2 linked regions of the Cricetulus griseus genome follow. The protein of the gene in region 1 purifies or fractionates together with the protein of each later gene. This does not show direct contact. Links are inferred from orthologs where the notes say so. Each region holds a gene or a part of one and is shown on either strand. Other genes may lie near its edges.

The links.
Region 2: the proteins of Ppp2r5d (region 1) and Ppp2cb purify together in Homo sapiens (affinity purification with mass spectrometry; 8 studies listed by BioGRID and IntAct, counting the BioPlex papers as one, with this or other methods). This does not show direct contact. The link is inferred for Cricetulus griseus from reciprocal best matches to the Homo sapiens genes PPP2R5D and PPP2CB.

What each region holds. Positions count from the first base shown.
Region 1 is NW_023276806.1:256,117,078-256,132,414, forward strand, and holds the start of Ppp2r5d (serine/threonine-protein phosphatase 2A 56 kDa regulatory subunit delta isoform), read right to left. Parts: upstream 7,642-15,337; 5' UTR 7,506-7,641; coding exon 7,479-7,505; intron 2,880-7,478; coding exon 2,802-2,879; intron 1-2,801. Other genes in the region: Pex6 (peroxisome biogenesis factor 6), read left to right, coding at 13,731-14,612. UniProt on the Homo sapiens protein: The B regulatory subunit might modulate substrate selectivity and catalytic activity, and might also direct the localization of the catalytic enzyme to a particular subcellular compartment.
Region 2 is NW_023276807.1:51,181,938-51,197,387, reverse strand, and holds the start of Ppp2cb (serine/threonine-protein phosphatase 2A catalytic subunit beta isoform), read left to right. Parts: upstream 1-5,636; 5' UTR 5,637-5,695; coding exon 5,696-5,797; intron 5,798-15,450.

The sequences.
Region 1 (15,337 bases):
GCACCAGATATCGTAACGGGTGGTTGGGAGCCACCATGTGGTTGCTGGGAATTGAACTCAGGACCTCTGGAAGAGCAGTCAGTGCTCTTAACCTCTGAGCCATCTCTCCAGCCCCTGCCCCTGCCTTTTCAATTGCTCGGATTAAAGGGAGAACAACCAACCTGTCACAAATTTTTAAATTCTAAATAAAGGAACCTCAGAGGCTGGAAAGATGTCACAGAGGCTCTTGAAGAGGAACCAGAGTTCAGTTCCCGGCACCCACAACAGCAGCTCACAGCAGCTCACTCCAGCCACAGGGATACTACAGGGACACAACACTTCCATCTGGACTCTGCAGGTACCTATATACATGTGCACATAGCCACACACAGAAATTTAAAATAACAACAACAACAACAAAGAGATCCCAGGTCATGTCTTTTTTGTTTGTTTGTTTTTTGTTTTTCAAGACAGGGTTTCTCTGTGGCTTTGGAGGCTGTCCTGGAACTAGCTCTTGTAGACCAGGCTGGCCTCCAACTCACAGAGATCTGCCTACCTCTGCCTCCCGAGTGCTGGGACTAAAGGCCTGTGCCATCACCGCCCAGCTAGGCCATGTCTTTTATGCTACCCTGACTTCAGACTTCTAGCCTCCATAACTGTAGGAAAATTAATTTCAGCTGTTCAAGGCCACCTATATATGGTAATCTGTTTGGCTGCTTTGATAAACCAATACAAAATAACTTCTCAATAAAGTAAATGTTAGCTGCTACAATTATTAGGATTATTTGAAAAATACTTTCTGGCAAGTGCGTAACATAGTTAAGAGTTGGCCAGAGAAGCTCAAAATTCTATACTAGAAAAAGGTGTGCAGGAGAGATGTGGTGAACAGCATTAAAACCATGGTCTCAGGGCCGGAGAGATGGCGATTCAGCAGTGTAGGGCACTGGCAGCTGTTCAGTGGACCCAGGCTTGATGCACGGCACCCACACAGCTGCTCACAACCACCTGCAACTCCTGTTGGGGGACCTAATGCCCCTCTTCTGGCCTCCACGGATACTAGGCATGACCATGGTGCACAGACATACATGTAGGCAAAACATCCATACACATAAAAATAAAATTAAAAAAAACACATAAAAAGAAAAAAAAGACCATGGCCTCCCAACCTGGTCCCCAATTTTCTTGGCATCTGTCTGCCATCCATACAAGAGCACCTTCTGAAAAGTCATGAAGAAAAATTCCTGTCGCTACCTCATATAGATAAGCCCGGGGAAGCTTTTCATAAAATAGAGCCCAGGGTGAATGTGACACCCTCCGTTTCTAGAGATACTAAGACCATGTCCCTGACCTGGAGAAACCACAGCAGCAGACCTTAGTACACTCCTGACTTCATTCCCCATTCAGTGAGTGAGTTCTCACTCATTCACTAGTCCACTCTTCACTCACTACAACATTCAAATGTGGGTGCCCACACTGGGCCAGGCAAGTAAGATCCTCCAGAAGCTCCCATACCAATACACAGTGAGCTCACCAGGAACTGTTTAACTACAGTTGTGAAGTGCAGCCAAGGGACTGAGGGACAAAACAGCAACTCACAGGGAGGGGACCTGGCCATGCCCTGGGGATGGAGGTGAGTGGTCAAGACAGGCTTCTCTAAGCAGATAATAACCAGGGTGCCTAATAACTACAAGAATGTTAGTGAGGAGGGCCTCTAAGTGTTCTTCCTCTCCCTTTAAGTCCTGACTCTGAGTCTCTCTTGGCGTTTTTAATACTGGTCAATAACTCAACTATTTTCCAGTTTCTCTTTAGAAGGGACAGGAACAACAAGTAGCCTGGAAAATCTAAATCAATAGTTAACCAAAACACTTGTCAATCTCCTTTCTCAGGGAAGGCCCAAGACCACCCAGTAACTAAGACTTCTGCTTCCTAACAGTTTAGAGCAGCAAAGAGCAGGAAGGAAAAGGCAGAGAGAATGACAGCAGCTCCCACACATTCACAAGACTGTTCAGCAAACAAAGCACACCACTGACTGTCCCCAGATGTTCAAGGGCATCCCTGAATTTCCCCAAGCCCCTCTACTCTCTGGCTATCTTGTTTGCCTGTTTATTGCTTTATAGCCCTAGATTGCTGAGCTGTGCTGACCTCTGTTCATAACTGTCCTTTGGTCACACTGAGACCAACAGCAGTGGACCCAGCCCTGCACAACTCAGGGACACCAAGTATCCCCAGCCCCTGCCCCACCCAGATCCATACCAAAGTAACTTGTCATCCCATGAAGCATTTGTGGACTTTGCCCCTTTTCTCCAGGACCACAAATCTCCCAGCACCCCCAACCCCTTTTTGAGTCAGGGTCTTGCTATGTCATACAGTCTAGCTCCAAACTTGTGATCATCAACTTCCCAAATGATGAACTTACAGACATGCCTAAATGGACCTCACTTCTTTCCATGGTTTTTACCCCAAGAAAGACATCCTTACAACATACACTTGAACATGCTGGAAATTAAACCCAAGGCCTTAAGCATACTAAGCATGGGACCACTACTGGCCATACCCCCATTCACTGAGAAGGGAGTTACCAACACTAAAAAGTGCAGGCAGAAAACAACTTCCATGAGAATCTAAGGAACTTGAAAGAATTAGAGTACCTATTTGTTCCATACCAGCCAATTCCTGTCCAAAAGTAGTTTAGATTTACTCTCCCATCTAGGCTGTAGAAGCCTTTGCCTGTGTAACTGTCTCCCTCAGACTCTTGCCCCCAGCCATCAAGGAGCTGCAGCTAGCACCTGTACTGGAACCAGGACCATGTGTGTATCTTTTACCTCATCTGCGTTCTCCCCTCCACCATCTTTGCTCGAGCTGCTGGGCTTGGCTGTGCCTTTGGCAAGCTTGGGAGGTTCCTGCAGGGAGAAGATGGAATTAGGGTTAGTAAAGACCAGGAGAAAGGAGAGGCCTTGCCTGAATCTCTAAAATCTTTTTATTTTTTATTTTTTTTAGTAGTGGGGATCAAACCAAGGGCCTTATCTATGCTACCAAACACTCTACCACTGAGCTGTATCTCTGACCACCCCCCCTTCTTTGTTTTAACTACGAACTATCCAGCTGATTCAATTAAAACCTACTGTATCAGCTGGGCATGGTAGTGTAAGCCTTTCTTCCCAGAACTCAGGAGGCAGGAGCAGGTAGATATCTGAGTTCAAGGTCAGCCTGGTCTACAGAGCAAGTTCCTGGGCAGCTAGAGCTACACAGAGAAACCCTGTCTTAAAAAAACCAAAAATAAATTTAAAAAAAATCCTACTATATTGACCGTGGGACACACAAAGGAGACTGAGCCCCTCTAAGGACTTTAGATTCTGGTTAGGAAGCCAACCTCAATGTAATGATTAAGCATGACAGCAGTCTTCATCTGTCTCCTCGCCAGGCTAGTGAATGGGTTAGGGTTAGGAAGCCTCAGTCAGGAAGAACTAAGGTGAGACAGTTTACTGGAATAGCATCTGAGCAGCCTGATCAGAGGTGCCAAAGTCTTCCACGCAGAAACCACCTCTCTCCCCTCAGGGCCATCCAGAAAGACCCAGAGGCTTCTGTTTAGATGTCATGAGCAGCAGCCAAAAGAGAGGGTGCTGTAGGTATTTAACAGGATGCTAACAGTTAGAAGGGTTCTGCCCAAGAGCGCCTCGGGCAACAAACAGTGGCCGAGAGATGGAGGTGAAGTCCTGAATTGTTAACAAACTGTGAGCATCAATCTAAAGGTTCCCTTGGGAACCTGGCAACTGGCTCAGAGCCCTGTCCAGCCATCTCTTCCCATGCTCTGGGCCAAAACAAAAGCAACCACACAGGGACAGGATGGGGAGAATGTGAAAGACTTGAGGATGCAGCTCTGACTGCAAGCTCAACACAAATCAATGCTGTGGTGTCCACTGCAGGCCTTGGGAACTTCCACCCACTTAACAGACCTACGTGGAGTCTTGGCCCCCACAGAACCAAGCTAGTGGGTCTAGTTTGGTCATGAGCATGAGCCTGTGAAGGAGCAACAAGAAATCCTTACTTGTAAAGAGAAATGCAGCCCATTCTAGCAGTGTATTCAAAGGCTCAGCCTAAAGTGCAACAGCTGCAGGAACCGGGATAGTTAACAATAGAAGGGAGAAGGGTGGGGGAGCAAGATGAAGCTTAACCGGCAGAGGGAGGGCTGCCATGTGTACTAAAGACACAATCTATCCTCATGGACCCAGAGGAACAAGAGAAATGGGCTGACACTGACACTGAAAGAGGATAGACTGAGGCCAACAAGGGTGGATTTTCTCACAGTGTCGTAAGGAAACAGATTGCCCAGTGAAGCTGAAAGCTCCCAGGCCTGAGCATCTGAGCAGAGGCTGGGTGACCTCCTCTGAGATGTGTCTCAAAAGGATTCAAGCCTTAGATGAGAGCTGGATTGGAGGACCTTGGAAATCACTTCCAGCTCTGAGAGTCTGCAATTCAACACCAGCCAAGCCCCTCAGCAAGAAGTGTTAAATCAAATGATTGTGACTATGGGGGCAAACGGATCTCAGGGAGAAGAGAGTTCTGTGTGGGCTGGAACAGGGGGGAGGCTTCCCGGGGGTGGAGAGGAAAACCATTCTCAGATGGGGAGTGGCTTGGTGCTGTGCAAGGGGAAGGGGCTTCTTCGGGCTGAGCACTCTCCCCCTGCCTACTCACAGGGCTGGCCACACTGGCTCTTGTCAATTGCTCACAGCAAGTGGTAGAGGAAAAAAAAAAAAAAAAAAGAGGTGCAGCCATGACACCACAGCAAAGTGACTGACAGCACACAACAGACACAAGCCCTCCAACAAAGCTGACCTGTCTTCACGCAAGTCTGGTCTCTACACTTCATCATACGCTGCTTACTTTTCTTGTCCCCTCCACCCACCTTATGGCACTGCACGACGTCTGAGAAACATCTCAGGCAATGTGCCTGATTTCAGCTGCCTTGGTGTGTGGGTGTGAGTGGGTGTAGGGGAACAGGGCCCACAAGCCTGCTGAAGAACAGGTGAAGCACACACACTGTGGCCCGGCCCAGCTGTCACATGATGTGAGGCACTGGGGTTTAAAGCCAGTGCCGTGTTTGAGCTCAACTCTTACCAGTTATTCGAGAATGAGGAGGTAACTAGCCTCTGGTCCTCACTATCCTCACAACAATAGGAGCCACTTCCCTTAGCCCAGTCTGGCACATAAACTCCCAATGCTGGTTAAGTCTATTGTCGTGAATAAGTTAGCAGGAGGGAGCAGGATACTTCATGTAGGAAAATAGAAAGACCCAAATCCAACCTCAGAAGAGAATAGTGCAAATCTCCACAGACTGACTCAGCACCTACCTACTGTGTGCAAGGAGATGCCAAACCTCAACAGTTTAGTGACTACCTCAAGGAGGAAGACAAGACTTGTCTACAATTCATTTGTACCCAGGGCTGAACAGAGAGTCTGTAAATGAAGGCTCAGGCCGACGTCACAGAGGAAACGGTGAAGGATAGCGAGCACTGGGACCACAGAGATAAAGGAGAATGGGGACAGGTGATGATGGATGAGCAATAAGGAGCCTCCACCCACCTGTCTTTGTGCCTTCATCCTGGTACACCCGAGTCACATTGTTATCTCTCTCTCCCCCTCAGAACTTTAAGGAGGCCAGTGTAGGAGATTAATCTCATAAAGGGTTCCATGCCTGCTTCCATGGATCCCAATCCTCCCAACACCCTTTCTCAACCAAATCCCTCATGGCTTATAATCATCCAGTAGGCAAAGGCTTTCTACAGATGGGACAGGATCTGATCCACAGACAAAAAACTACAGACAGATAAGAATCTGACCCATCAGTTTCCAGCTTAGCTATCTTGAATGTGCAGTTTCTATGGATGAATGACCCAAACCATCTTGGCAAACCCACTCCCAAGGACGGGACTGGGTAGGACCCACAACTCTGCTCAGCTCACCACCTTAGAAGTTCAGCACCTAGGATACCATTACCAGCTCTATGCTCTAAATCTCAGTCTCTGAGAAGTTATGGTGACAACCCATAATCAGAGCTACCTGGCAAATCCACGACAGCCCCAGGATAAAGAGTTTGATTGATAAGGTGAGGAGGTAGCACCACAACTCAACTGGGGGACAATGAATGCAATCAACCTCTGGGATCTTCAGGGGAGTGGACCACACTACCAGGCCAGAACCAGCCCCAAGAGAAGGAAAGCTGGGGGAGGCTTATCCCTAGCATCCTGGGATAAGTCTGTACCTCAGAGGAACCACACCTGAGTCAGATCTCAGCAACAGCAGGAAACAAAGGGTAGGGATGAAGGATATAGGTAAAGGCAGTATGCAGACGGAAGAAAATGAAAGAAGGCAACAGCAACCAAGGGCCTGTGGGGCTGGGAGTGTAGCTCAGTGGTACTGCACATGCTTAGCAATTTGCAAGACCCTAGGTTTGATCTCTATGCAAATAAAGAAATGGCTTGTGTAAGGGCATTATGACAAAGTACGAATGTCCAGGGGTGGCTGGGCTGCAGAGTAAGAAAACTAAACAGAACCCGCAGATTCCTGCTTTAATATAACTCAAGAAGGAGAGAAATCCAGCACAGGTGCAAAAAAAAAAAAAAAAAAAAGGAAATGCAAAGGTTATCCTAAGGGATAAGGGGGGGGGGGGAGCCTGTTGGTTTAGGGTGACCATAGAAGCCAGATGATACCAGTTAGGCACTTGCACAGAAGAGCCCTCCAAGTCGGGAGACCTAATATTGCAGCTGGGCCTCCAGCAGGATGTGTGACCTTGGACAAGTCCCTTCTCTTGACTCAGCCTCAGTCTCCTCATCTGTACCACTAGGGACTATAATGCATGTGCTCAAAAGCTGCCTTCCAGCACCGACGTTCTGGGGTTCCATCAACAGAAGGAAGGGCTCAGTCCTGACTTACAAGTTTGTGTGTAAAGGAAGACTCGAGGGAGGGGCCTAGGCCAGATTTGGGCGGAGGAGAGAAAAAGCAGAGCGGTTCTAGGTCAGGGGCTTGTCGTGGAGGGAGAAGGGACTGTGCAGAACTGTGAAGAGGCCGTTTTATAGGCTAGTGAGGAGAGGAGGGAAGGGGCTGCACAGGGCGGGGGTGGGGGTAGTACTGGAGGAAGATGCAGTCTTAGATGAGGGCTGTCCCAAACCCGTGGGGGATCGGGGACAGAGGAAGGCGGGGAGAAAAAGCAAGGGAGTGAGCTGGGAGTGGAGCAGATCTGGAGGGGGCCAGGGGTAGGAGCAAAGAGGAAGGGAAAAGAGATAGGTGGGGGGAATCTGTCCGGGGCAAAGAAGGAGAGCTGTCCCAGCTGCTGCACGGGCTGGGGGTGCTGCCAGACATGCGGCCCAAGGGCTGGCTCCGGGAGTGCTGCGGGGGGCCGGACCGGAGGGTCAGTCTCAGGCTGTCCCGGGCCTGCCTCGGGCCCCTCCCAGAGCTCCACGCAGGCCCCGCGGCGGAGGCGCAAGGGCAAAGGCCACGCTCACCTTATCCTTCTTCAGTTTATAGGGCATCTCGGCCGGTCCACACCCGGCCCGGCTCCTGCGGCCCCGCTCCGGCTCCGGCTCTGCTCGGCCGCACTCGGCCCGCTCGGCGTCTCTTCGCCACCGCCTGCGCGCTGCGCCCGGGCCGAGCGGTGGCTGCGCCTCCAATTGGCCCTAACTCTTACAAACCTGCCTGACAACCAGGCGCCGCCTCCTCGGATTGGTCATTGGAGCCAAGCTGCTTCCCTTTTTTCTCATTGGAAAGAAAGAGTACAAACCGCCAGGGTTCGGCTCCCAGAATTGGCTGGAGGGGAAGGTCCCGCCCTAGAGAGGGTCGGGCTTCGTGAAGAAGGCGGGGCCACGGGGAAACCCGAGCTTGGCTGGCAATGCTGCTCTCCAGCGTCACCTGTGCGTCGTCCTCTGCTATTCTTCATTCCTTGGAGCTCTGCTCCTTCCCTCCAGAAGTGGCTCTCACGTTTTCCCCTGCTCTGCTACCTGCCCTGCCTCGTCCGAACTCTAGGAAAGAGGCCCTAACAGGAAAGGGCACCTTTCTTCTCTTCACAGGAGTTTAAGTAGCTCAAATTGCACACGTCCATTTGATAGAGAAGACTCCCAAGGGTCCTCCTGAGCATTCAGCAAGTCTGTCCTAGTTCACAGCTGCAAGGGAGCAGAGCGGAAGCCTATCCGCGGTGGAATCCGACTGAAATAAAATGAGAACACCTGGTTTGCTGCAGCTTCAAGAAGTGGGTCCCGGTATCTACTGCAAGGATGCCGGCCGGGCTCGGTAAACCAGCTGCATTTGAGCCACTAAGAATGAAGTGGAAAAGTAGCCTCATCTTTCAGTGTCCTAAAAAACCTATCCCGTCCTTACCTGTGCCGCTGCCGCACCCAAGCTGGTGTTCTAGTGGGTAAGACTGGGTTCTTGCCCTCAGGGAGTTCCCACTCTGCCGAGGTACACAGACTTGTATAAGAGATGATTAAAATACAATGCCATAAATTACACAAACCTCAGAGTGGCATGGAGGAATATATTTGTTACCCTAGTAGCCAACCGACTATGTTAAGAAACTGGAGGAGATCCATCAAAAACAAACCCGTGGGAGCCGGGTGTGGTGTCTAACTCCTGTAATCCCAGCACTTGGAAGGTGCAGGAGAATCAGGAGTTACAGACCAGCGTTAGTTATAGCCAGTTTGAGACCAGTTTCAACCACACCAAGACCTTGTCTCAAAACAAAACAACAAAAAACTTACGACTAAAAAGTTAAAATAATAATAATAATAATAATAATAATAGTAATCCTGCTTGTGCCGAATGTAAGAGGCCCTGGCCCTGGATTCCTACAGTAGGGCAAATAAGTAGCCAATGAACCTTACACAGAGAGCAGCGGCCAGAAGAATGGGAAAGGGAGAGGCTAGACAGATGGCTTAGTGGTTAAGGGCACTTGGTGCAGCCGGGTGGTGGTGGCGCACGCCTTTAAACCCAGCACTGGGGAGGCAGAGGCAGGCAGCTTTCTGTGAGTTCGAGACCAGCCTGGACTATAAAAGCTAGTTCCAGGACAACCTCCAAAGCCACAGAGCAACCCTTTCTCGAAAAAACAAACAAACAAACAAAAACCCACTTGGTTCTCTTCCAGAGGACCTGAATCCAGTTCCCAGGATCCATATTAGCTGGTTCGCAGCTGCCTGGAACTCCAGCTCCAGGGGATCTGATATCCTCTTCTAGACTCTGTACCTGCACCACCTGCACACATTCACATAATTTTACATAAATATTTTAATAGAATGGGAAAGAAAGGCTGGAGACAAGGATGGGTGTTTAAGAGTACTTGCTGCTCTTCCAGAGACCCCAAGTTGGGCTCCCATCACCCACATCAACTGGTTCACAGCTGCCTGGAATTCCAGCTCCAGGGGATCTGACACCCTCTTCTGGCTTCCATAGGTACTGCACACAGGTGGCATACACTCACATAGACACATACACATAAATAAAAAATTTAAAAACAAATGAAAAAGATGGTGGGATCAGGAGATGTGTACACTCAACAGGATTTGGAGATTCATTGGACTGGGGGAGAGATGGTATAAGAGAAAGGAGGAGTTAAGGATGACTTTCATAAGTGATAAGAGATGGTCAGAGGAAACTGGTGTCATAATGACAGAGGTAGTAAGGATTGGCCAGAGGCAGACAGAGTATGATGAATACTGAATAGTAACACCTTTTTTTTGCAATTAGGAGGTGTCTGGTGATTTTTGCCAGGGAAGCTTCAGAGGAGTAGAAGTTTATAGTGGGCTGAAGAGTGAGCATGAGGTAAAGACAGCAAATGTAGCATCCTGGCTCTCATACAGAAATGGCATTAGCTTTATGACTAACAATGAGTTCAAGGCAACACACAGTGAATGGCATTTCTACTATTATTTGCAAGCAACCAGCCTGGGAGGGAAAGATGGTTATTTGTGGGTGGACATTTGTGCCTGTATGAGTGTAACTGAGGCAGGACAGCAATCTCCTGCCTATACCCAAAACCTCATGATGCAGAAAGCTTGTCTGTGACTGTGTCCTCTTTAAACCTACAGTCCTTGGTTCCTTCAGGAAGCCGGGGACAGAGACATACATTTAGGCTGAAAATGAAAATTTTCATCTGTGTAAATCCAAGTCCCAGCACCTTATTTTTTGTAGTTCTTGCTACAGGGTCTTGCTGTGTACCTCAGGCTGGCCTTGGACTTGAAATTCTCTTTCCTCAGCCTCTGAAGAACTGGGTTCAGAGATGAGCAGAACCATGTGCAGTCCTAGTCCCTTTGTGTACACCATTTTGCAATTTGAAATGAGAGACTGGGAGCGCAGCTCAGTAGGTAAAGTGCTTGTCAGGCATGTGTGAGGCCCTGGAGCCAATCCCCATGTGTATGCAAGCACCAGTTCAGCCAGGCATGATGGTGCACAGCTATAACTCTCACACTCAAGAGGCTGAGGAGAGATCACCATGATGGTACATGTCTTTAATCCCAGCACTCAGGAGGCAGAGATAGGAAGATCTCTGTGATTGAGGCCTGTCTAGTATACAGGTTGAGTTCCAGGACAGCCAGCACTGTTACACAGAGAACCCTTGTCTCAAAAAACTGAAAGAAGAGAAATCCAGGCATGGTAGAGCACTTATAATTTCAGTACTTGAGACATGGAGGAGGAAGGATCAGGAGTCTAGAGCCAATCTTGGCTACATAGTGAGTTCAAGACCAGCCCTCAAGAACTGAGAAGCAAGGGCTGTGAAGATGGTGAAATCATTTTCATCATCAGTGTTTGCTGCAAAAGCATGAGAACACGAGTTCAATACTCAAGAGGCCACCCCTAGCATCCATGTGAAAACACTGGGATTTGGTGTCACTCATCAGTAATCCCTGCACTGACCCAGGTAGAAACGAATGGATTCCTCGTGTTTGCTGGCCAGCCAGTCCAGCCAAATTAATTAGCTCTAGGTACAGTGTGAAACCCTGCCTCAAAACAGTATTGTGGAGAGCAATTTCAGAAGACACGTGTTCCATAACAGCATCTTCCCAAAATAAAACATTCCATTGTTGCTGGGTGGTAATGGTACACACCTTTAATCCTAGCACTTGGAAGGCAGAGGCAGGCAGATATCTGTGTCCAGAGAGCCATCTTGCAGGAAGCTCCTTAAGCAGGAAGATAAACAACTCAAAATACTTCAGGAAGTCCCTGAAACTGGCAAGATTCACTAGGCCCCCTCCCTGCCAGAGTAAGCAGTAAAGTGTGATTGTCCCTCTCAGAGAACTGAAGCCAAGTTGCAAAGAAACAGAAACCAGCCAAACCACCTAGAAAAAGTTTGGACCACATGAGGCACCTGCAAAGGATACTCTCCAACCTGATGAGCTGCCTACAGGCTGTGTAGTGTGTTCCAGGTTCCCAGTCCTGTGAGTTGCAACCTACGCTGGGGGTGGGCTTTGGTGATGCAGCTGTCTTTGAGTCATTTCTGCTCGTGTGAATTCACCAAGCTGGAGTTTGTTGGTATCTGTGCTTTGGCTGTTGTGGGATCCCTATCTGGGGTAAGAAGACATGAGTTGCATCTCCCCAGAAGAAGTTTTGTCACCCAACAACCTGAACTTAACATCTGGCCTCCACATGAATGTTGACATATATGCATAAATAAGATTACACCTGTGCACATGGTACACATGTGTACATGGACACATGAACATACAAAGAGACCATGTGAAAGACCCCTGTCCCTTAGCCCTTTCTTTCTCAAGTTTGTCTCCTCTTCCTCCTGTTGGCGGCTTCCCCGATCCCCACCCCCGGCGGCCTTCCCCCGCCACCCGCCGCATGCCCGGCCCGAGAACAAACACCAGGTGGGCCGGCCCGAGAACAAGCACCGGGTGGGCCGGCACGGGAGCGAGCACCGGGTGGGCCGGCACGAGGGCGAGCACCAGGTGGGTCGGCACGAACACCAAGTGAGCTGGCCTGGAGCCCTACCCCTGAGCCCCCGCCCGAAGAGAAACACTCCGTCCCAAGGTCTCCGCCCCCAAGGTCAGCCATCAGGAAGGGGGGGGGGATTGAGTCTGCTGTACCAGACACCAGACACCAGACCTTGAGAATATGCTGATCTGGAATGGCTCTGTGTCTCATTTGAACCATCCAATAGAAATGATTCTGTATTTCGCCTCATTTGAAAGACTCTATGTTTCACCTCATTTGAATAACCCTGTATAGCGCCTCATATACATTGACCAATGGGAATAGCTCTGTATAATGCCTCATTAGAATTATCCAATAGAATCCCTGCTCCTAGCTTGCGCCTTTTTCCCTATATAAGGACCCCTTTCCCTTGGCTCGGCGCGCTTAGCCACACAGAAGCTAAGTCGCCCCGGGTACCCGCGTCTCCAATAAAGCCTCTTGTTTTTTGCATCCAGTTCGTGGCCTCGCTGATTCCTGGGTGTGGGTCTCCCTCTACGAAAGTACCTCTTCGGGGGTCTTTCACATGGACAATTCCATCTGAGGCAAGTTCTCATGTATCCTAGGCTGGCTTCAAATTCACTATGTAACTGTTGCTTCTACCTATCAAATGCTAGGAAGACAGGAGTGTATCACCACACCTGGTTTCAAAACCAGGGCCTCACCGTTGCCAGACAAGCCCCTCTGCCACCTGAGTTACATCCCCAGCCCAGTTCCAGGTAATTCCAGGAACTATAATCAGAAATTTAAATATTTTCTCATCTTTCTGGGGATAAAGACACCTTAATACATGTAATTGAATTCTAATATTCAACTTTCAGATGTCTGACGTTCAGATTTTTCAAGAGTGTACACTACATAAAACAGAAGGACTATCTCAAGAAGCTCAACTGCAATAAAAAGGAGAAAGGCCAACAATCGCTGGAAGAAAATACAAGATTCAGAAAAAGGCGATCGCCACCATCCAAAATATTGACTAAATGTAAGGAAGCAAAAACTCGGTAACTGTGAACTGGAAATGTGACTTATCCCTGAATGTCATGGAGCAGTAGAGCGCAGACAAAGATGAAATCTAAGTCACAGTACAGGCTGTTGGCTCAGTTCCCATCACAGAAGCCTCTAGCCCTTTCCTTTCCCTTCTCTGGGGTAGAAACTGAGAATGGGTCTCCGAGGGTTAGTAGGGCAGAGCAACGGGTTTGAGGGAAGAGGTTAAACTGCTCAATCTGAGAGTTTGGCGGGAGTGAACACCTAGGAGCCGCGGCGCTGGAACATGGGCTTTGTGTGGGGCTGCGGGGGCAGCACCAACTGCGGGGCTACATGAATCACAGGCAGCGATTCAGTCAGCAGCCCCTACATAACTGCATACACACAAGCCTGTCTGGAACAGTTTTATGATCCTACAACTCCCTCTTACAAGGTTCACCGCAAACCTACAGATGAGCGGGACAAACTACGATTTCCTCAGGAAAAAAAAAAAGTGGATTCCTTCCACTTTTGACACCAGCCACTCTTGATCAATCAGATATTGAGTACGTGTTACGGGGCACGATAACCGAGAGGGCGTGATTTCCCCTACCGAAAAGCAAAGGTAAAGGCTCCTGCACGCAGACCCAAAGGGCGCATGCGTCGGCGATTACGGCGGCAGCTGGGGAACCAGCCCTGTACGTCGTCCCCAGGGGCGGACTCTGCCCCCGGCGCCCCGCCCATTTTCCTGCCGGAAGCGGAAGCGCCTCTCGCGCCCGCGAGCTTTCCGGTCGCTAGTTCCGGAAGTGGAGGTGCTGGCTTTCTCAGTGGCCATGGCGCTTGCTGTCTTGCGCGTCCTGGACCCCTTCCCGGCTGAGACGCCTCCGTTGGCGGTGCTGTTGCCGCCCGGGGGCCCGTGGCCTGCCACAGGGCTGGGCCTAGTGCTGGCGCTGCGGCCAGCAAGCGAAAGCCCTGCGGGGCCCGCGCTGCTCGTTGCGGCCCTGGAGGGCCCGGGCTCCCAGAACGGGCAGCGAGGGCCGGGACCTCCGCAGCTGCTGGTGAGCCGGGCGTTGCTGCGGCTCCTGGCGCTAGGTCCCGGGGCGCGAGTGCGAGCGCGGCCTGTGCGGCGGCCTCCGGCGCTGGGCTGGGCGCTGCTGGGCTCGGCTCCCGGGCCCGGGCCTGGGCCTCGAGTCGGGCCGCTGCTGGTGCGCCGCGGGGAGAGCCTGCCCGTGCCCGGCTCGCGAGTGCTGGAGACGCGACCGGCCTTGCAAGGGCTGCTGGGCCCAGGGACGCGGCTGGCTGTAACCGAGCTCCGCGGGCGGGCCAAGCTGGGCCCTGAGAGTACGCAACACAGCCGTCTCCCACCCCCGCCCGTGGCGTCCTCCTTTGCCGTTTCCCACGCAGTCCGGCAACTTAAAGGGGTCTTGGGAGGGACTGGAGATGCACTGGGTGTGACCCGGAGCTGTCTCCGGGGTCTCGGGCTCTTCCAGGGCGAATGGGTATGGGTGGCCCGGGTCGGAGAGTTCCCAAACACATCCCAGCCGCATTTGGCTAAAGTACAGCTCCTAGAACCTCGCTGGGACCTGTCCGAGAGACTGGGACCCAGCTCTGGACAGCTGGGAGAACCACTCGCTGACGGACTGGTGTTTGTGCCTGCTACTTTGGCTTTTAATCTCGGCTGTGATCCCCTGGAAGTGGGAGAGCTCAGAATTCAGGTCAGGAATGCTTCCTTTTCCTTCTGCCCTCTTACCTGTCTAACTGAATTAGAAGGCTAGCTGTAAAATGTAGGTCCCCTGTGCCTGAACTTTGCACTTACGGTCTCTTAGCCTTGTTTACCGGTTCTCTATTATCAATCAGACCGTGTCTCCATAGCGTAGGTGCATGGGAAGAGCTTTCATGTGTTGAGGTGACAGGTGAGGTTCCCTGTCAAGTGCCAGATGTGCACACTCGTACTCCCGCTAATCCGTAACTGGGTTGCTACAGTAGAATGGTGTCTTGGTACCTTCGGCTTATGATTTTCATTGACTTCCTGTTCTAACTTTATCTGACAAAATTCTACCATCCTTTACTTCAAGGCCTACATAAAAAATAAAAACTCTTTAAATCGTTTTATGATCTCAGTACCATAACTTTTAACATCATTTCCTCCCCCTATAGCCTTTTGAATCTTTGTTAGAATACTTATTCTTTCTCGTGATTACATAATCTGTCTAGTCCTCAATCATATATTGTAAATTCCTTGAAAGGGCTCTTTGTTATCTTTGGTACCTGGTATTTAATAGCTTATTAAATACATTTAAGAGACATTCTTGAAGTGTTTTGGTTTCTGCCTTTACTTTTAAAAGTACAGTTTGCTTGGGGGCCACTACTGTTTGGTTTCTAAGCATATGCGTATGCCTTAGGTTGGTGCTGGCTTGAAAAGAAGCCAGTAGCCACTTAA
Region 2 (15,450 bases), on another chromosome or scaffold:
ACAGTGAACCAGGCCCTACTACATTAATCATCAAGAAAGTGCACCACAGGCAAATCTGATGGCAGCATTTTCTCAACCAAAGTTTCCATATGGCATACAAAATGTATTGATTTTAGGGGCTGGAGAGATGGCTCAGAGGTTGAGAGCACTGACTGCTCTTCCAGAGGTCCTGAGTTCAATTCCCAGCAACCACATGATGGCTCACAACCATCTGTAATGAGATCTGGTGCCCTCTTCTGGAGTGCAGATATACATGGAAGCAGAATGTTGTATACATAAATAAATAAAATGTATTGATTTTAGTGTGATAAACCAACCTGGTTGTGATTTATGATCTTAATATGTTCTATAAGTTTATTGGCAAGTATTTTGTTGAGAGTTTTTATTGAAAAAAAATTCATACAAAATATTCTGACCATGCTTTTTTCCGTCCCCGCCCTCCCAGATCCTCTCTGTTCATGAGGGAAATTGGTCAGTAGTTTTTGTTGTTCTTTATCTGGTTTTGGTTAATAAGGTAATACTTCCTTCATAGAACCAATTTGGCAGTCCACCTCTCCTTTCTATTGTATAGGATAGTTTGAGAAGTGGTAGTGGTAAAAGTTTGGGAGCAGCAGACTCCTGATGGCATGTGAACATGCCACCTGGAGAGGTCAGAGGGCTCCAGCTCCTCTTGCACCCACGGCACCCCTACTCATGCCAACTCCAACTAAAGAAGTGAGAGGACTTGGAACTCACGGCTCCCAGCACTTGTAACATCTCTCATAACCCTACCCACTCTTAACTAGTGAAGTTAGAAGACTTAAGACCCCCACACTTAATACTTCCACTGCCCAGCACATACCCAGGCAGGTCAAACTACAAGAGCAAAATCTCTTGACCCTGGCTCAAACTTCTGCCTATTCAACAAATGGTGCTGGCAAAACTGGGTTTCTACCAGAAGTAAATGAAATTAGATTCATATCTTTTGCTTTGTACAGAAATCAATTCAAAATGGGTCAAAGACCTAAATTTGAAGCACAAAACATTAAAACATAGGGAACATTCTTCAAGATGTTGGGGTAGGCAAGAACTCTGAACAGAAAACCAGTAGCACAGGAACTAGCCCCGAGTATGAACAGATGAGACGATATGGGAATTAGAATGTTGCTGCAAAGTGAGGAGCCTCCCAGTTGAGCACACAACACACTGGATGGAAGAAAAATGTGTACAGCTTTACTTCAGACAAGGATATAACATACAGGACTCAGAACTGTAGAAATTAAATACTGAGGAAATAAAGCTGCCAAATGAATTAGTGAATTGAATAGACAGTTTTCAAAAGTAGAAACACAAACAGCCAATAACTATTTTTAAGAAGTGTTCATTGTCCTTAGCCAGCAGAGAAATACAAATTAAAACTTGGAAACACCACCTCCATTCATAAATTCTACCACCAATAAATCTGGCAATAGAGGTTGGAAAGATGGTATAGGCACCGAGTGTACTCTTCTTGCAGAGTATCATGAGTTCAATTCCCATGTCAGGCAGATCATAGTTACCTGTAGTCCAGGTCCAGCAGATCAGCACATTCTGGCCCCTCAGCATCTGTACTTATATACACATACCCGCCCACAGATACATAGATCACATGTATCACAAGGCAGAGGCAAGTGGGTCTTTGGAGAGTTCAAGGCCAGCCTGGTCTACAGAGCTAGATCCAGGACAGCCAGTGCTACACAGAAAACTCTTGTCTTGAAAATTAAAAAAAAAAAAAAAGATAGAGCTACTGGCTGGCTGCTTTGCTTATCTGATCTTCAGGCAAGCTTATTAAGTCATAAACAATATATCATCACATCTGGGCTTTTACCTTTCTCTGTATCTATATTTTCCCTTATTCTGTGGTTGGCTGGCCCCTGGAGTCGTCCTCTCCATTTTTCGTTTCATCTCTCCTCCTAGAATTCTCCTATTTATTCTGTCTGCCTGGCAGCCGTGCCTATCCTTTCTCCTGCCTTGCTATTTGCCATTCAGCTCTTTATTAGATCAGGTGTTTCAGACAGGCAAAGTAACACAGCTTCACGGAGTTAAACACATGCAACAAAACAATGCAATACATCTTTGCATCATTAAACAAATGTTCCACAGCATAAACGAATGTTAATATTCTACAAGAAGTCAAGATACTTTGAGCATAATGTTTTTTTGCAAGCTCTTTACAATAAAGTTTTAATAAGAAAATAATACAGCATGTGAAATACTAGAAACATTTCAAAGCAATTTATAATTCTAAGAAAGTGAAAAAACATTGTGTTATAATTTATTGGCTATTTGCACTCATTTTGATTAATGTCCTATCCATATCATTTGCCCATTTATTTGGGCTTTTTTTTTAGTTCATTATTTATTCTAGTTATCAATCCCTTGTCAGATATGTCAGTGGGCTGTGTGAGGTGTGGGAAACCGAACACAGTGCTCCTGCCACTAGGCTAACACCATACCACATCCCATGCTTGTACACCAGTTTGTGAATCTTCCCTCATCTGTGAGATGGAGGATAATATTTACTTCATGGGGTTATTGAAGAATAACATGTAGCATGTAGAAAGTGCTCTAAAAAGCTCTTTGCTTGCTAGATGTAATAATGTGCAGCGTGGTCCAAACACTCCTTGAGGCAAGAGGGGCACTTCAGCAGCCTGGACAGCATAGAAGGGCATCTGTGAGGTGAAAAGAGACTGAAAAGAGCCGCATGAAGATTAGCATCTGAAAGAGGCCAGTTGGCAAAGACTGGAAGCCCTTTCCCATCTAACCCACTGAGCAAGTGTGAGAAAAGCCTGCCATATTGGCACAAAAGTGGGAACAGAGGGTGCTATGCTAATGGCTTGTAAGAGCTCATCAACCCTGGGGCCCAGTGCCTTTGGAGCTTTCCCCACAACTTGGGAATGTTTGCCCTTTCTTAACAGACTATCTTCTTCCCTGAGCATCTGGACTTTATTTTTCTCAGAAGCCCCCTCTACTCCTACTACCTTGCAGCTAGCTCCAATGCAGATCGTGCCTCCTTTTTTTTTTTTTTTTTTTAACGTGCCTACTTTCTTGAGCATGAGGCTTCTTCCTCTTCTCCATCTCCCTCCTGCTCAAAATTGCCAAGATCTGCTTTTCATGCGCCCAGTTGTTTTCTCTCAAATTCTGATAAACAGGTTCCCAAGATTCCTTCGGGTTTCAAAATCTTATTAAGACAAAGAACCCATTAAAAGGAGCCCTGAATTCCCTAGTAGTACCAACACTTAACAAGTGGGACTTAACCGTAAAACACAAAGCTGAGGCAGGAGGATCATAAGTTCTAATACAGCTTGTGGCACACAGAACTGTCTCAGGGTGGGAAGTGAGGGGGAACAGCATTACTTTCTCCTCTACAGCACTAAGTAAAACATTTCAGAAGAAATATCTTCACAGAAATATCTCCTACTCACCTCCAACGTCCACTCACATCAATTCCAAACACTTGTTTTCAAGGACCGCCTTCCCTCACAGCCTCCACCTGTGTTTTCCCATTTCTCCTCAGGCTACATTTTCTGATCTCCAGAGATTCAGGAACTAATTCTCACTTCACTCTGAGCTTTTCAGGCTTAGGAAAAGCCTTCATCCTTTAAACCTGTGTGGTCTAAGCTCCTAAGAGACTGCAATCATTGTTAACAGAGACCTCTCTCTCTCTCTCCCTCCCTCTCTCTCTCTCTCTCTCTCTCTCTCTCTCTCTCTCTCTCTCTCTCTCTCTCTCTCTCTCCCTTCCTCCCTTCCTCCCTCCCTCTCTCTCTCTCTCCATTTCTTCAGGCAACTTCAAAGGGTTTTTCCTGGAGAGAAAGTTTAGGATTCAGTTCAGATGACATCCTTTTGATGAATTCTGCAATCATTCTCTAAAATAAGGAAATTAATATATTGCTGAACTACTGAACAGACACTTTTTACATTTCAGCTTTGAGCCAGGTGTAGTAGGAGGTGGAGACAGGAGCATTAGTTCAAGGTCAGGTCATCCCCAATCACAGAGCAAATAGCTAGCCTGGAATACAAGAAACCTTGTCTAAAAAAAAAAAAAAAAGAAAGAAAAAGAAAAAAAAAAAAAGTCAGAGTGCTTGCGTACAAGCCTTGCAACCTGAGTGTGATGCCCAGACCCCACCTAAAGCTGGAGAGAACCCACTCCACAAAGTTTTTCTCTGACTTGCAGACTTGTGCCCTGGCACAAAGGACCCCCTCATGATATTAAATATTCTATTTACACAACTGACAAAGATTGTGTTTATTTCAAGTGATGACAAATCTGCCACTTGAGGTAGTTTGGGGGTTACCCCATGCTGAGAAAGTGGCAAAACCTACTCAGGAACACGCCTTGTGATAAAGGGTGCTGTTTGCCACTTGAGTTCAGCAGAGGCTGAACACAGTTCAGACAGAGGAAGTATGGTCATTTAGCACAGTTTTACAAGGTCTCAGTGGCTAGCCCCTGCTATATAAAGAAATCACTAATTACAACCAAAGTATCAGTTACAGCAAAGAATGTCAAGCTGGAATGGCCACAGATAACTTTAGAAATCACTTTATGGGTTGGAGAGATTAGCTAGCTAAGGGGTTAAGCCTAGCCATATATATATATATATATATATATATATATATAATATATATATATATATATATATCTTTAAATGCCAGCACTAAGGAAGCAGAGGCAGGAGCATCTCTGAGACCGAGGCCAGCCTGGTCAACAGAGCGAGTTCCAGGACAGCCACAGCTATACACAGAAACTCTATATGGAAACATACAAAAAAACCAAAAAAGTTTAAAAGGTTTACTCTTGCAGAGGCTCCAAGATCCACTTCGGATCTCCCTAAGCACCCGCACACACGCGACATAGACATAAATAAATCCTTTTATAAAACATTATTTTATCTCCGGGCGGTGGTGGTGCACACCTTTAGGTAGAGGCAGGTGAATCCCTGTGAGTTCGAGGCCAGCCTGGTCTTCAGAGTTAGTTCCAGGACAGGCTCCAAAGTGATACAGAGAAACCCTGTCTCGAAAAACAAACAAGAAAGGGTCCGAGATTTGGGGCCTCGCAACTAATTAGTGCTAAGAGTAGAAACTAACTCGATACAGATCTAGTGCCTGTTCTAGGACTGTGAAATGTTGAGAGGAAAGCCCAAGCTTCCCAGCTCCCCGGCGCAGACGGGGGTCCAAGGCTAGAACCGGATTCCCAGAGGGAGGAATGGGAAGGACGCTGGCCCGGGGCCCCCGAGGACCGTTTCTCCGCCGAGCCGCGCGAGGGCGCTGCTCGTCTCCTCGTGAGCCGAGCCCGGCGGCCCCGCCCACTCGCCTTTTCCCGGCGGAAATGCCGGGGCGATGACGGAAACCCGGAGGGAGGGAAGAGAAAGAGCGAGAGAACCCGGGCCAGAGCGCGGAGAGGCCTGCGGGCGGCGGCGGCGGAGGCAGCGGGCGGACGCGGTCGGGCCGGAGCGTCCCCCGAGCCGCGCCGCGCTGCGCGCTCCGAGCCGTGTGCCCTTGGCGCCCCGGGGCGCGTGGCCGGGCCGGGCGGGGCGGGGCGGGAGCTCCCGGAGGCCGCGGCCCGCAGCTGCCCGCTGGGCTTGGGCGGGGCGCGGGCTGCGCGCTCCGCGGCTCGGTGGTCCCGCCGGGGGCCGGCGGCGGCGGCGGGGGAGGCGGCGGGGACGCGCGGCTCGCCGCCATGGACGACAAGGCGTTCACCAAGGAGCTGGACCAGTGGGTGGAGCAGCTGAACGAGTGTAAGCAGCTGAACGAGAACCAAGTGCGGACGCTGTGCGAGAAGGTAGGCGGCCCGCCGCGGAGGCGCGCGCGGGGGAAACGGGCCCTGGCCCCGCCTGGAGTGCGGAGTGGGGTGCGGGGACCTCTCCCCCCCCCCGAAGATCAGGCAGCTGCAGCCTCCTAAAGACACGGACGACTCTCCTCAAAGTCGTTAACACTGAGACTTGGTTAGCGTGGGATTGTTCGCGGGTGACGGGGGCGGGGAGGGGGGCTCCGAAAACCACGGAGTGCATGAAGCTTTTGTTTGCACACTAGTGGGCGTGATGGCAGGCGGCCCTTCAGCCGGGCTCACTTCGGTGGAGGCTGGTGGTGGCTGTGGTCTTGGTGGTGAGTGGCTCTTGGGACGGATGGTTTCTTTTTCAGGAAGAAGGCAGCAGGTGTTGAGTTTGGAATCCGTGTTTACTGGCAAAGAGAACTGGGATGTGTGCTATTTATAAGCTCCAACATTACAGAAAGTTACTTCCATTTTTACCGCGAGTAGCCCACACACACACACACACACACATCCTTAGACCTTGCAGGTGATGGATTGGGGGGGAAAAGACCTTCTTGATCGTGTTTCCGTAGCTTTCAGAAATCTGTATCCACTGATTTATTAATTGCTGGAATTTTTAAAGTCTACTTTTTCATTCCTCTTTTATATTTGGACTAAATCTCGTCCCTGTATTTTCCTGTTAAAGAGTCCCACAAAAGAGTAAAGGAGTTAATTATTTCACGCGTGAATCTATACATTTTTCTTAGAAGTCGGGATACTACTAAAGAATTTTGTCCATCTTATTTATAAACACTCTTTACTAGGGGTGGGGGGGCAATAACCCATGGAGTGTTTTTCAAGAGTTCGGTGTTGTCCAAGTCCTTTTTGTATTCAATACTTAGCCCAGGAGAGTGTCTTCAAGTAGAACTGTGGAGAAAATGGTGTTCCCCCCACCATGAAAGTGTTTGCTTCTAGCCTCAGCTAACTTTTATTTTTCTTGTGTGATAACCTATAGTTTCATAATTCTCAAAATTAACCCTTTAGATGATCTCTCTCAAGCTAGTGTCACCGAGCTGTCCAGTTTGGAAATTGGCTGAGTCAGTCAGCCTTATTGTAATTGTGACATCCAAAACTGAAGGTACAGAGCAAGAGGTGGCTGAATCAGTTCAGGGTTCCCCTTTGACTTTGTAGTAATTTTAGGATCCGTCCTTGCAGAAGGTTGTTCCACTGCTGTGAAGTGTCACGTTTGAGTCTTAAACTCTTAGGAAGCTTTCTGAATCTGCTTTTTTAAAAAAATCGTTTTTCTTTTAACCTTGGCTTCTAAAAATCTGGATTACCAGTTCGTAGCACCATGTAGTGAATTTAAGCTGACATCTTAGGCTGTGAGTGAGTTTTCTTTGCAGATGAACACTAATTCACAGAGTATCACCCATTCCTTCCTCCTCTAATGCATAGGATGGAGTTGCTTGTAGGAGAGGCTTCTTAATGCCCCTTTTCACCATCTGTGGTGTGGGGGGAGATGGGTGTGTTTTCTTTAGTCCCTAGTCCCTTTTTGTAATAGGTTTAAAGGTTTATTAATTTTTAATTATGTGTCTGCGTGCTTGGTGCTCATGTCTGAGGAATTCAGAGGCGTCAGATCTCCTGGAACTGGCTGGTGGTGAGCCACGTGATGGTGGGATCCTGGGAACTAACCGAACTCTGGTCCTCTGTAAGAGAGTACAGGTCTTACCTGCTGAGCCATCCTGTCTCAGTCAGCCTGTTGGAATTCAGTACACCCGATGCCTATCTAAGGCAGGGATGATACTTAGCTTCTTTCAGGTGGAAGATCTCAAGAGGCTCCTCATGCAGCCCCACAGTAAGTGAGCACTCAGGGAACACTAGCGAATGAGAAAGGCTATGTGCTTTTTCAGCTCGTTTCAGTTGTCACTCCACTTGGGAAAGAAATGTAAAATGGATGTGTTGAGACTTCTGGTGATTGGACTTGAAAGGAGATTTTGTGGCCCTAACCAAAACTTCGTGTTTCCTGTTACCTTCAGCACACAAACTACTGGGGTTTATAGCAATGTTATAAAATAAACAACTTTACTTCCCAGTTGGTCTTGTGGATACTCTACCTTTCCAGAGCAAGAATGTCTTGTAGGAAGGATGTAGGAGAAAGTCAGACGTGCACATCACCTACCTTTAATTCCTTTTGGCTAGTCTTTTAGTTTTTTCATGTGTGTATGTATATAATGTGTTTGTAGTGCACATGGCAGGCGGATGAGGGGTCAGAGGCCTACTGTGAGGAGAAGGTCCTCTCCTTCCACCTTATGTGAGCCCTGGGGATCGAACTGAAGTCTTCAGGTTTGGGCCTCGAGTACCTTTACCTTCTGAGCCATTTCTCGGGCTAAAAGAGTTATTAACTTTTTATGAAGAGCAGGTCTCAGGATGTAGTCCTAGCTGCCCTGGAACATTTATGTAGACCAGGCTGACCTCAAACTCTGCCTGCCTCTGCCTTCTGGGTGCTGGGATTAAAGGGGAGCACCACCACGCTTAGCCCACCAAATTTTTTTAATGATATGCTTTTTTTTATATTTTGTTTGCTGTAGCACTCTGTAGAAAGAAAGGTTTTTCCCCTAGAAATTAAATTCCTATCATAATTGAGCTTGTCTGAAATGGAAGTAACTGAAGTGGTCCTGTTAAGGCCCTGTATGGGGTAATGGCGGTCAAGCTCTTCCCACTGTCGGAGGGTAAATAGCTTCCATAGGGCCAGCACAGAAAGGTGTCTGCCTTCTGAAGTGAATGGCTGTCGCTCATCTAAATTAGCAGCCCAGAGTCTGAAGTTAATTGTGAGTCTGACTCTTCTGTGGGCAGAAATACAGCTTCTGGAACTCCTTCCTGCGATGACAGTGTGCACAGCAGCTTTTAAAGATGGTGTGCTGGAGGAGCCAGGCTGGCCCAGCCAGAACGTTCTGTGACTACAACTATATTTAACTCTCATCTTGGGAAGAGTAAAAAAAATTTTTTTGACCTGTTAAGCTTTATTTTATAACTGAAGAATGTTTGTACGATAATCCAGGGGCAAGAGGGGGGAGCTGCTTCCTGTTTTGGCAGGTACCTGTTTTAATCTTTAATCAGAAAACCTGAGGCTAGTATAGAAGTAATGTGTAAATTCTAGGGCTAGAGAGATAGCTCCCAGTTAAAGGCTAGGCTCACAACCAAAAGTGTAAGAAATACATGTGAACTCTATGTTGGATTGATGGTGTGTTTCATAGCTTGGCTTCAAAGCCTCCTAATCGGACACTGAAAATTTAAGTTCATACTGTGAAAGAGCACACACCTCTAAAGTGGAAGAGCAGATCATTGTAGAAAGAGCATGTCAGTTGAGATACTCCATTACTCTCTGTGCTAGATACAACTTTAAACAAAAATAAATGTGCTTTTAACGGGGTGTGGTGGCACACACCTTTAGTTCCAGCACTGTAGAGGTAGAGGCAAATGGATTTCTGTGAGAAGAGGCCAGCTTGGTCTCTGTAATGAGTTCCAAGACAGCCAGGCTACATGGAACAGACCTTATCTCCCAAAGCAAAAAAACAAGGTGGTTGTAAGTGCTAAAAACCCTAAGTGGCTATATAGCAAGTTTCAGGACAGCCAAGGCTTCGTAGTGAAAGCTTGCCTCAAGAAACAAAAACAAAAAAGACAAACAAAAAGGCATAACTGCTATGTTCATTTTACTTCATTTTTTACTGGGGTCAGGGTCTTACTACATAGCTCTGGCTAGCCTGAAACTCACCAGGATTGACTCAGACTCTGGGGGCTCCACCTGCTTCTGCCTCCCTGAGCACTAGGATGATAGGTGTGAGACACTGTGGTGGTAAACATTTTAGAGTTTTATGTGAACAGGGTTAATGCCGGCCTTGGTGTCCATTGATAAAGTCTGAAATACAGGGATGTAGAACCTGTTTCTGGCTATACCAAAGAATGGCATGGCTACAGTAGGATGAGCTTATATGCTGACTGAGCAGATGAGTTTTCCAGCCCATCTAAGCCACTCCCTGCTTAGACTGACAGGTGAAGAAATTAAACAACATGAGACTAACTAGCATAAACTAGTGACTAGAAAGTGGACTTTGGGGGGCTGGAGAGATGGCTCAGCGGTTAAGAGCACTGCCTGCTCTTCCAAAGTTCCTGAGTTCAATTCCCAGCAATCACATGGCGGCTCACAACAGTCTGAAATGAGATTTGGTGCCGAACACTGTACACATAATAAATAAATCTTTAAAAAAGTGGACTTTGTAAAATCAGTGATGTGTAAAATATGACTAGGTAGATAAAGATATTAACATTATAAAGTTTATTTTCATTGAATAGTTTTATATGCATCGTATAACTTTTGTTCAAATTTTCCCTTAGGTTTTTTTTTTTTTTTTTTCCTTGCAGTTTGTTTTGCGTAGTATTGCTGTGGGTTGGTTATGTAGTGCCAGGGACAAAACAGACTAGGTAGCTCATTACGAAGCCAGTTTGATGGGCTTGGTAAATGAAGCCAAATGCCTGAATCACAAGTATTAGAATCACAAGAAATTCGAATCCATGTTAAGGAGGGGTTTTGAATTGACTTTCTTTTACTTCCTTAAGTAAATAATGAAATACAAACCTAGTCTAGGTTATTGAAAATAACTTAGCTAAGGGCTGGAAAGATGGCTCAGCAGTTGAGAGCAATTGTAGAGGACAAGGGTTTATTCCCAAAACCCCCGTGTCAGCTCACAACTGTCTGTAACTCTGGTCCCAGGAGATCCATTGCCCTCTTTGGGGCACCAGGCACACATGTGGTACACAGACAATGCAAGCAAAACAATGTAAACATGAAATGATAAATCTAAAAAAAAAAAAATTAACTTGTGAAATTCTTTTTTTTTTTTTTTTTTTTTTGGTATTACTATTGGTGATCAAATGTTACCTTTTCCTGAACATTACTTTTCAAGTCTATTGTTGGTCATACTAACCTTAGAAAGGAGGTCTGTATAGTATAGATTGTTACCTTTCTAAGAAGAGAGAGCTCAGGGTTGGACTTGGTTTGTATCTTTTGTCTTCTGTAATAATCTAGCATCCTTGTTTTTTCTAAAAAATTTATTTGGAAGTAGGGGCACAATATATATATATATATATAATATATAATATATATATATATTTATATATATGCATGTTGTAGCTATGAGAAGTCAGGACAACTTCCAGGAGTCACCTCACATCACCATGGGGTCCCTGGGATCAACTCAGGTTGCCTAGTGGCAAGGACCTCTGCCCACATCTTTAAAATCTTTAATATGATTGACTTTGTGACTATATAAACATGCAGATGGTGCAGGCCTGTAGCCCTAGTTCTTGAGTGTCGAAGGCCAGCCTAAACTAATGAGAACCCTGTCTCAGAAAAGCCAAAATGCATCAATTATTAAAATCAGGGTTTGTTTTTTGTTTTAATGAAAGGATTTTTTAGAGGACAGAGGTAAGATAAAACGTAGGCTTGGTTTTTGAACATCACTGTCCTAAAATTTACTTACTTGTGCTAGAGGGCACAAGTCCCAGAATTACATTTCTCTGACTCCAACTTCAAGAGTTTAGAAAAATTGAGGGCTGGAGAGGTAGCTCGTGGGTTAAGAGCTTGTATTGCCCCTGCAGAGGGCCCAGGTTTGGTTCCCAGCAACCACATGGTGGCTAGGAGCCGCTGTAACTTCAGTTCCAAAGTAAGGCTCCAACTCCTTCTTGGGCCTCCCAGGCACCTACATTCACATGCACATACCCACACATAGACAAAAATAAAAGCTTTTTTTAAGTAACAATAACTTAAGACACTCCACATTTGATACTCTCTGTAACATTCAGTAAGGTACAGGAAGGACTCTTAAGAACTCCCTAGAAGTTGTTAAAGTTACAATTATAATTTTTTACTATAATTGGAAAATAATACAAATTAGGACCAATCAAGGTAGAAGAGAGATGTAGGGCAGAGTGGATGTTGATGATGGATATATTTGCGTGAAGCACTTCAGTGCTGTGGGCTGTGTGGTGAGCATGGCCATACTTGGAAAACACAATTGTGGTTTGTGAACTTGGTAACAGTTGTGCATGGACCATTCACAGGCTTCAAATGAAATGACATCATTTGTCTTTAATTATGATTTAAAAAGAAGAAGAAGAAGAAGCAAAGAAACAGTAGTTGTTCAAATGATTTATAGACTAGCAGTAAAAAATTGTTTTTTAATTTGCTCACAAAATACTGATGGAGCTGGGAGTTGGGTCAGTGAGCAAAGTACTTGTCATGAGGGTCTGAGTTTAGACTCTAATACCTATGTAAAAGCCAGACATGGGGGTGCTGAAGATAGAATCCTAGGAGTTTGCCTGGCCAGCCCATCTAGCCTGATATGTGGGCTCCAGGTTCAGTGAGAAACCTTGTCTGAAAAACTGAGAACAATAGAGGACGCCTGGTGTCAATCTCTGGCCTCCACACTCACCTGTGTTCACACAAGAATACTGCAGTACTGTGTTTACACACACACACACACACATACACTGTGTGTGTGTGTGCTCACGTGCATGTGCACAAATATGTATATAGTGTGTATGCATTTGAATGTGTGTCACTAAGTGGGAGTCAGTGCTCTCTTACCATATGAGTCTTAGGAGTAGAACTCAGGTCATCAAATTGACGGCAAGCACTTTTTCTTATCTGTTACCCACTGGTCCTGGTAACTGACATTCAAACCATGTTGTTGAAGGCCTAATTGGTAACCATGGATATGGCAATACATGTATTAGAATTGTGACAGATGAATGGGACATGTGGTTCACACCTTTAGTCCCAGAACTCGGGAGGCAGAGGTAGGCAGATTTCTTGTTTGAGGCCAGCCTGGTCTACAGAGCAGAGTTCCTGGACACAGAAACCCTGTCTCAAACAAAACAAAAAAGAATTATGCCAAATGAGAAAGAACTGCTTCTATTTGAGAAAGATAATTGAATAGAATTGAGATTTGCTAGTTTTCTGACCTTTCCCGTTGCAGCCGTGTTTCACATTGAGTTTCAGAAGTTTTTCCTCAATTTTTAAATATTGAAATGTAATCTTCATTCTTTAAAAATTACTTCTTCCGCCGGGTGGTGGTGGTGCATGCCGTTAACCCCAGCACTAGGGAGGCAGAGGCAGGCGGATCTCTGTGAGTTCGAGACCAGTCTGGTCTACAAGAGCTAGTTCCAGGACAGGCTCCAAAGCCACAGAGAAACCCTGTCTCCAAAAACAAAACAAAACAAACAAAAAAAGTTCTTCCAAATGTACAATTCAGTAGTTCGAGGTTTATCTTTATAGCATGTATCAGTATGTCATTCCTTTTAATGGCAGGATAAAAATCCATTGTGTGGGTATAGGAGGGTGGTTGCTTATGTAGTTACTACTTTTTGAAATTTGTTTTGTAATTTTAAATGTTACATTTTTAGCCACACATGGTAGTACACACCTGTACCCCTGCATCCAGAAGGCTGAAATAGGATTGTAAGTTTAAGGTCAATATGGGGCACATGATGAAACCATGTCTCAACAGAAACAGAAAAGGTAGTACTTTCAGATTTTTTTTTAGATTTATTTATTTATTATATATATAGTGTTCTGTCTGAATGTATCCCTGCCAGAAGGCCAGAAGATGGCACCAGATCTCATTACAGATGGTTGTGAGCCATCATGTGGTTGCTGGGAATTGAACTCAGGACCTCTGGAAGAGCAGCCAGTGCTCTTAACCTCTGAGCCATCTCTCCAGCCCCAGATTTCTTTTTTTTAATGTAGTTCCTAACTTGCTTTTAAAAATGTCAACCATGGGCAGAGACTATTCTTCTACTAGAAGACCTAGGTTCAAGTCTCAACACCTACCAGGCAGCTCAACTATCTATAGCTCCAGTTCCAGGGGATCCTATGCCCTCCTTGTATCCTCAAGCACCAGGCACACACAGACATACATGCAGCAAAACAAATCTGCACATTACAGTCTGGTAGCTTTAAACTCCTCCCTTTTTTATAAATCAAGCTTGGTAGGTATGTGAGAAAGACAACATGCTTTTTGCTTTTTCTCTAACCTTTGTTAATTTACCTTGTTTGTTTGTGGATTGTTTTGTTTCTGAGTTAAGATCTCACAAGGCCTAAAACTCACTATGCAAGCTAGTCTGGTCTTGAGCTCATTCTCCTGCCAGTCTCATGAGTGCTGGGAATGTGGGCATGTACAACCGTGCCTTGCTATGAACATATCTGTATGTAATAGTTTAAGCCTTGGTTTCTTTCTATGTGGAATGGAAGGTTGTTTGTGCTGTTTTGTTTACATTAAAGCAGGACCAGACGCTTAACATCCTAAAACAGTTTTCATTTATCTAGTCTGTGTACATATCCATAACTTGCTTCTTAAGAGTATATGATTTTATTCTTAGTATACCTTCAAAGCTTAATGTTGCTTGGCATATAGATACTTGATGTTGTTAAACTCAAAGGGTTAATTTCCCTGGGTTTTTTGGGGGGCAGGTAGGACAGGGCTTAATTGTTGGCGTGTTTACCCAGCATGCACTTCATGTTGGAGGAGAAGGATCAGAAGTTTAAAGTTACTCTCAGTCATACAGTGAGTTGGAAGCTAGCCTGTCTTTTAATAAAACCAAATCCCAAAAAGAAGAAACAATAAGTCATTTATGGGAAAGCCTGCCAACAGTGAAGAAAGAGAGGCGCCATGCTTTCATTAACTACAAAGTTTTGGGTTGGGCTGAACTGGTCTTGCTATGTAGCCCAGGATGGTCAGAACTCCAGGTTCTGCTTCTTCGGCCTCCAGAGTGGGGTATAGCAGCCATGTGCTGCCATGCTTGGCAGCCTTGTAGAATTTTTTAAATTGATTTTTTTTATGTATATTAGTGTTGTGCCTATTTGTATGTCTGGGTACTACATGTGTGTCTGGTTCCTATCGAGGTCAGCAAAGGCCATTGGCTTCCCCTAGAACTGGAGTAAGTGGTTGTGAACCACCATGTAGGTGCTGGGAACTGAGCCATCTCTTTAGCCCAGCTGTAGACTGTCAGAACATCATGTAAGACTGTTTCAGAAATTGCCTGTTCTGTTTTACTTTCTGTGAATTTGCCTGGAGAGTAAGAGATGAGCACTGTGGAAGCTCATTCATGTGTAGAGGGGAAGACTGTGTGTGACCAAAGGCAAGCATTGTAGCCTTCGGGGAATACATTATGGCAGTAGGGGAGTGACAGACTTGAGTACACCCTTAGACCCAAGAATATTTCTTAAATGGATGTAAAAGGCTATAATTCTCCAGTGTTTTTACTAGATTGAATAACTGCATCAGTCTAGGACTGCCAGCCTGGCTTGTGTGTGAACACATACACAAGTAATTTCAGTAATATGGTAGTGAGAATATGTTTGTCACATAACTAAGAATCAGCCCTCAGAGAAATAGTTGGGGAAGAAGAAACAACAAAAACAAACAAAAAAAGCTGTTTATTCATGGGAAAGATAGGACTGGATGCTTTAGAGACATAGGCCCCTAGATACCTGGTCTAAAAGGGTATAAAGGTCACACAGTTACATTAGCACTGTGAAGAGAGCCTTTGCTTCTTTTCGTTCTAACTAATCATAGGGCAGTAGAGGAAAAGTACCGGCTCCACTGTCCACAGCTCTCGGGGAGTCT